Linked DNA regions of Callithrix jacchus. The protein of the gene in region 2 interacts with the protein of the main gene of each other region in a biochemical or structural test. Links are inferred from orthologs where the notes say so. Each region holds a gene or a part of one and is shown on either strand. Other genes may lie near its edges.

Region 1 (4,115 bases), on a different chromosome or scaffold from region 2:
AGGGAGGGGAGCTGGAAGGAGGAAAGGGCCATTGTGCAATCTGTCACCAACCCAAATGGAAGAGCTCTACCCTTCCACCCATCCCCAAGGGTAATGGGGGAGGTGAGAAGTCAGAGAAACGGAGAGCTACGGACAGAGCCGCCTGTTGGGAGCCAGGTTATTTTCTCTTCCAGATTTCAGGAAGTGATAGATTAGCAGGATTTACTTGAAACATACAAAATATACCTTTTCAATTTTGTTCCAGCAGTTACATTTAAATACATATCAACTAACACCATGTTTAAATGTAACTAAGTTTGAAAATCTTTCAATAAATGGATGTTGGTGATAAAGAAATGATAGAGGACAGAGTCTAATGCACAAATGTTTGGGGTGAATCAAGCCCATTGCCTTATTCCAGTATGAGACAATTAAACATCCAGTTTTCCTGCCCCAGCCCAGAGTTGGTGGTTTTGCAGACACAGGACAGGTCATGGGAAGTGGTGCCCAGAGCGGCCCAGTGACCGAGTAAACACAAGGAGCGCAGCCAGTCTTTCTGATTTCATCTGGAGTCGGCCCTAGGGCCTGGCTTACAGGACGGCCGTTTTATAACTAAAGGCTAACTGCAACTATATAATCTCTGTTTCTGTGTTACTTGCTAACTCTTCAGCCCCTCGTGGCCCCTTCTCAAACTGTTTACCAACATCCAAAGCAACCCATCCTTTCTGGGCAAGGGAAACTTCGCCGGCCGGCACAAGCTGCCAGCGGGCGAGGTCCCGGCACTCTGTCCCGGTTAAATTCAGGATTTCGCTGCTCTCGCGGCTTTCGCCTTCCGAGTGCTCGCCCTGTATTCCCGACTCCTAGCGCCTGTCTGTCTCCTCCTTTCTTTTCCCTTATCCTCAGTCTCTGTCTCCCGGCGAGCCCATTTCAGCTGAATTTATCCTGGCTCTGTGGTTTTCCACCCAGAGAGGAAAGGAAGCAAGACCTTCGGCCCCCAGGTTTGGAAGCAAACAAAGGAACCTAACCAGCCCCTGCGCTCAGGTTTTCCCCAAACTCTTCGGCTTCGCGGAGCGCTCTCCGCGCTACAGCCACCTCCCCACCGTTCTTCTGAATCTCTGTCGGAAACTCTACAGAAAACGGAAGGAGCCTGGCCAGGTGATGAAGGTGTTGCCCCGAGGTGGGGGAAGTTAAAGACCAATTTTTAAAATATTGCCTTCTGAGCTCCAGTGCGAGAGAAGGCTGCGACAGGAGACCCCTAAGGTCCTCGTCTGGGCAAGCGGCGCGGACAGCCAGACCGACCGGCTGCAGCGCCGGGCCACGAGCGAGCGAACACGGCGAGGATCGACCCTTTCTGAATTTGGGGCTCCGGGAAGTAAATGCAGCGCCAACTCTCCCCAAGACTCTCTTTTTGGTGTATTTTTAAAAGACTCCTTCCTTTGTCCAGCTAGTGAAAAATGAAGCAGGCGACCTGATTCAAAAGACTATCAAGAGAGAGCCGTGTAAAACCGGGCGGGAGTGAGGGCAAGGCCAATGTCTCAGGCCAGCTTCACCCCCCTGGGGAGGAAGAGGAGAGAGGTTCGAGAACATCAGCTCCCACCGAACCTCTTTCCTTGCGACACCACTCAACGCTTCCCTGCCCATTGATTTAGAAACTCACTCTCCACCCATCACTCCCCGCCGCGGCCAGCCAGGGAGGCATGAAAAACAAACCTAGAGCCAGTATTTCCCGACACTCACATCCCAGAGAAACCCACTCGCGGGTGCTCAAAGCAAATGAGGCCCCATCCTTAGCAAGGAACCTCAGAGTTCATGAACTTTCGCAGCAGCGCGGCGGAAGCCTGCGCGCCGCCCGGTGGACGGGCTCCGGCGAGCGGGGAGGACTTGGTGACGGGTGCCTGCGGGGGCGGGAGGGGGTGGAGGGGAAAGGAAGGTTTCCTAGGGTTGCCCGAGTCGCGGGAAGCACGCCGCGTACCTTTCCTTGGCCTCCGCTGCTCGGTCTCTTTGCCTCCGGTTCTTAAACCAGTTGCTGACCTGGGTGGTGGTGAGGCCAGTGGCCTCAGCCAACTCCCGCTTCTCACGCGGCGAGGGGTAGGGATTGTGCGCGTACCACTCCCGCAGCACGCCCCGCGACTTCTCCTTGAAGCAGTAGCTGGTCTCCTCGCCGTCCCAGATGGTGCGCGGCAGTGGGAATTTTCGGCGCACCCGATATTTGCCCACGGCGCCCAGGGGTCGGCCGCGCAGCTTCTCGGCCTCCACGTAATGCGCCTTCAGCCACAGTTGCTGCAGTTTGGGGTGGTTGTGAGGCGAGAACTGGTGGCTCTCCAGGATCTTGTAGAGCTCACGGAAGTTGCCGCGGTGGAAGGCGACCACCGCCTTGGCCTTGAGCACGCTCTCGTTCTTGTGCAGGTGGTCGCAGGCGGGCAGTGACCACAGGAACCTGCCCAGGCGCTCCAGGTTTCCGCCTTGCTGCAGAACCTCGCACACGCATGCCACTTGCTCCTGAGTAAAGCCAAACGACGGTAGCATCGACATGGCTGGGGCCTGCCGGGGCTCACCGCCCAGGCGCACGCGGCTGGGAACAGAGCCGAGAAGCGGGGGGCGGCGGCCGCAGGGGATGGGGGCGCGGCTGTTCCTAACCTCCTCCCTAGATTTTGCAACGGCGAAAATCCGAATCGGAACTTGGAGGTGGACGGCCAAGGAAGAGGAGGCAGAAGGGTAGGGCACGCGCTGAACAAGGAGCCGCCGGCGCACTCAGTAGCCTTTAGGGCCTTGCTGCCTCGGACCTCCCGCCCGGTGGCTGCTGCTAGTTGCCGGGGAACTTGGTTTCTGTTCTCCCGGCAGCTGCCTTAAAGCGCGCAGCGTTCCCGGCACGCTGATTGGCTGCGGGAGGCGCCTATCCGGGGCTGGCCAGCCAGCGCGCCGCCCGGCCGGCAGCGAGGCCGCACCGCCCAGCTCGGGGAGGGCGAGGCTGAGGAGCTAGGAGTTGTGGTGGTGTGTGTGGTGGTGTGTGTGGTGGGGGGGGGGGGGCGAGGGAGTGTTGCTAGGGCTGCGGGGGAAGGGAGTGGTGGGAGGAGAAGGAAGAGGAAAGGTGGGAAGCCAGTTGGGGTCTGAGCTGCGCTGCGAAGGTCGGGGGAGGTAGGGAGTGGGTGAGCGCGTCCGGACCCTGCAAGGCTGGACCCGTTCGTTGCCAGCATTACCTACCCAGAGTCGGGCACAACTCCGCACAAATCAATGACTTCAAACCTTCGTTTCTCCCCTCTCCCTCCGTACTCTTGTCCTCCTCCCTTGTAGACTTGCCCTTTCCCGGTGAGCTCATATTTAATTACTTTAATGTTGGAATGAATAAATAATGGATTGATGAATAGCTATGGAACGCGATAAATAATTCAAGAGCAGACCAGGGTCCCTGCTTGCAGTCTCTGGAAGAGTGGCTTCTTTTTGGGTTGGCTTCGGCTCGAGGAGCCGAACCCAATTTCCCCTTCCCTCCCCCATTGCCCCACACCACCCTCCAAAGGGCACAAGTACTCCCAGTTGGACAGCATTTCCCTCGTTCACAAAGGGCCTCCACGATTTGAGACCAGGAGAAGAGCTGTTTAGAGCACTCTTGCTGAGCACATAGAGTCTCCGAGCATTCATTTGTAATCTATTATCTTAGTGTTCTGCAATGGAAACCAGCAGGTTCCTGAAGCTTTTCTGGACTCAGTTTTCCCATCTGTGTGGTTGTGATTTCCATTGCCACCTTTGCTACTGAGGAATGCCGAGAAGCTTTACTTGCTATTAGCAAAAATGCTTTGGGAACCTCGTACGAAAGGCGCTGGATGTGGTGTAAATTAAATAAAACTGTGCCAGGCTCCAATAACCGTCCGGTTGTAACATAATCCTTGCCCTGCTCTGAGAGGGACACTGCCCTCAAAGCGAGGACGACAGCAGCTCCAAGAAGATTAAATAAAGAGGGTGTGTGTGTGTGTGTGTGTGTGTGTGTGTGTGTGTTGCAATGCTGGCCTATTTTGCTGCCAGGGAGTGAGAGATGTACTGCAATGTAAGTCTCATCATCTGCTGTTTTGTTTATGTGTGGAGAATGCTTAGTAAAACTGCACAAACAAATGAAGTTGTAATTATCTTAAGCCTCATTTGCA
Region 2 (3,500 bases):
CCTGATGGGAATAGAGAACTTTCCCACAAAACCCAAATTCTGGGGAAGCAAGTTTTTCATTTGCCCTTCAGCTCACCATTGAATTATAGACGGATAGTGGCATATACTTGATGATTTCCTGCTTATAGTTCCTCTCTGCCCTAATTTCTCATCAGTGTTGTTTTCCTCTCCATTGTTGAAATGAGATTGGAAGAACCACATTCTGAAAATCAGGGTGGCCAAAGATAATTCAAGATGATGACAGAGAAAAACTTTGTTACACTTCAAACTCTTCAAAGAATGTTGTCAAATAGGTACTATGCATTCATTAAATACTCTGAGATGGGATCAATACCAAAATCAATGCCCAAGCCCTAAACCTTTTAAAAAGTTGACTTTATCTAACATGCTTTGCCATATTGTCTTCATTTGTTGTCAAAGTAAGGATAACTCACTCACTCCCTGTGATGGAAAATTTAAGGGCTAAAATCAATAGCTACACCAAGAACCCCAGGAACAAAACAGGTGGGTCTTCCCTATTGTTCCTTTGCTAACAATCAACCAATTCAAATTTGTTCCTGACTGTCTCCACACCATCTCCACCCCACTAGCTTAGCTTCTGCAAAGCCTTTTTTCTGAAACTCAGTAGGCTTCAGAAAAGAAGACAAAGAAAAAAACTCAGTGGTATCTACTGACATTCTAATGTATTGCTGCCATGTTATTTAATGTTGATAAGCCAAAACCATCTTGTAAAAGAGAAGACGTGCACAGCAGATCTGTGGAATGAATGACTGAATGCATAAGCTGGTGCGTCAGTTGCATAGGGATATTACATACCAAGTTCTGTGACCAGAGAGGGGAACAGACATGGACTCTGCCACGTGACGCTCATAGTGTAGATGGGATCCATATAAAGGTTGTGGATATATATATATATATTTTTGTTTACCCAGTGTTTCTTCTTGTAGTTACAGTGATCTGGGTTTTTTTGAGGTGATCACCTCTTCCTCACTCTCAGTCTCTGCTAGTTGAGGTGAGGCAGACCCCAACTCCGGCTCCAGCCATAGGCATGAGCCCAAAGTCTGTTGCCTCATCCCAGCATTCCATTCCACTGACCACAGAGATTGGTTTGGGGATGAGCATGAGACCTAACCTTTACTTGGGACTTTTGCAGAAATGGCTGAGGAGGAGGAACTCTGTTTGCTGAGGTGGCTTAGCAAACAGGATTAAGCTCTGGGTAGCTGGTGGCCATCTTTGCCACCACAGGGGAGGAACCTGCCTGAGAATGAAATAAACCCAGGAAAATTCAGAGCCAGAAGGAAGAGAGAGAGACTAAGTCCCAACATTGGAACACCTGGACCCAGCCCTAAACCCTTGTACACCTTGATTACATATGCCTAAAAATTCCTCTTTTTTTTTGTTTAAACTAGTTTGAATTGGATTTCTTGTATCTTTTGAAGCAAAAAAGTCCTGGCTAATAAAAAGGGTTTCCTAAAACTGCTGTGCCATCAGAAATGAACATCCTTAAGGACGTCCCCATTAAAAAATGGGCAAAGGATATGAACAGACACTTCTCAAAAAAGACGTACATGTGGCCAACAAGCATGTGAAAAAATAGTATCACTAGTCATTAGGGAAATGCAAATCAAATCCAGAATGATATACCATCGCACACCAATCAGAATGGCTATTACTAATAAGTCAAAAAAATAACAGATGCTGGCAAAGTTATAAAGAAAAGGGAATGCTTATACATTGTTCATGGGAATGTAAATTAGTACAGCCACTGTGGAAAGCGGCCTGAAGATTTCTCAAGGAACTTAAAATAAAACTACCGTTCAACCCAGCAATCCCATTACTGGGTACATATCCAAAGGAAAATAAATTTTTCTACCATAAAGACACATGCATGTGTGTATTTATTTATTTTTTGAGCTGGAGTTTCACTCTTGTCACCCAGGCTGGAGTGCAATGGCGTGATTTCAGCTCACTGCAACCTCCGACTTCTGGGTTCAAATGATTCTCCTGGCTTAGCCTCCCTAGTAGCTGGGTGCTACCCAGGTGCCCACCACCACTCAGGTTAATTTTTATATTTTTAGTAGAGGTACGGTTTTACCATGTTGGCCAGGCTGGTCTCAAACTCCTGACCTCAAGTGATCCATCTGCTTTGGCCACCCAAAGTGCTGGGATTACAGATGTCAGCCACCATGCCCAGGCTTCTATTTTTAGTAAAGGCAGGGTTTTACCATGTGGCCAGACTAGTCTCGAACTGCTGACCTCAGATGATCCCCTGCCCCAGTCTCCCAAAGTGCTGGGATTACAGGCGTGAGCCACTGTGCCCGGCCGGTAATATTTTAAATACTACCATGGCGCATCAACTGCAAGGCCTACACAGACCAGGCAGTAATGAACATGGGGTGAGCTGGCTAGATGTGGAATTGGGTGAGTCCTTTCTGAAACAGCAGACACACTTAGTTTTAATCAAGTGGCATTCCTTGGGAATGTGGCTACTATGGATCTTCTTTCAAGAGAAGCCAGAAATTAGAATTTTTAGGTATTAATAAAATTTTCTGACTTTTAAACATAAATGCAATTAAACAGGCACAAACAGAAAGGCCAACAAGACATGCCTGAGAGATGGATTTAACCCTCAGGTGGCCTGTTTGTTACAACTGCGACCCACTTCTGGGTCCTTCCTTCATAGAAGCTCTCAGACCACACCCATGAATGACCCTCGGATAACCCGTCTGTCACAAATGGGACCTATATCTGGGTCCCTCCTTCACAGAAGCTCTCAGACCACGGCCATGAATGGCCCACCACAGTGACTGCACTTACCGGCAAGTGACTCAGAACTCTGGTTGGGGATGTTGTGAGCTGCCTCCTGGAGGACGTAGGTGGACGTGGAGAGGGGCGAAGGGCAGATGCTGCTGGCCGGGACATAGGGAGGATTGTAGGATGAGCCATAATACTGGGGGTACTGGCTCTGGGGGAAGCCGGGGTAGGAAGGATAGTCCTGGGAAGAGAAAAACAAATCAAGAACATGTGTGAGGAAGCCTTTCTGGGCCTGGGCCATTGGTGAGCCTGGCCACTCTGTCTCTCTCTTTATTAGAATAAAAGCTCTCTGTGGGCAGGAGCTGTCTTCATTTTGGTTTCCCAGAAGCAGACCCTGGGACAAGGATTCAAGTGCAAGGAGGCTGTTTGGAAAGTGAGGGAGACACCAGCAGGGGAGTGGGGAAGTGAGACAGCGGACGCGGGGCAGCAGCCTGCACAGGGGCTTCTATGGTAGTGACTGGAGCTGAGTCCTATGAGGAAAAGCTGAGATGGTCTAAAACTCACATCTCAAAACTGCTTCTCCCAGGGGTCAAGGGAGCAGATGGGTTTATACATCAACTTGTCAGTCTTTAAGAGCTGCTCCCAGGGGGCTTTAATTCCCAGGCACTTCCTGCTTGCCCCATGCACTGGTTCTAGAAAAGCCCTTTGGGGCCCAGCATGCAGATGCTGGCACCTGGAGGTCCACA

What was found.
Region 1: the proteins of EYA2 (region 2) and SIX1 form a complex in vitro, tested with the Homo sapiens proteins (2 studies listed by IntAct, with this or other methods). The link is inferred for Callithrix jacchus from reciprocal best matches to the Homo sapiens genes EYA2 and SIX1.

What each region holds. Positions count from the first base shown.
Region 1 is NC_133509.1:95,380,723-95,384,837, forward strand, and holds the start of SIX1 (homeobox protein SIX1), read right to left. Parts: upstream 2,801-4,115; 5' UTR 2,512-2,800; coding exon 1,952-2,511; intron 1-1,951. UniProt on the Homo sapiens protein: Transcription factor that is involved in the regulation of cell proliferation, apoptosis and embryonic development. Plays an important role in the development of several organs, including kidney, muscle and inner ear.
Region 2 is NC_133506.1:42,280,536-42,284,035, reverse strand, and holds part of EYA2 (protein phosphatase EYA2), read right to left. Parts: intron 2,996-3,500; coding exon 2,818-2,995; intron 1-2,817. UniProt on the Homo sapiens protein: Functions both as protein phosphatase and as transcriptional coactivator for SIX1, and probably also for SIX2, SIX4 and SIX5.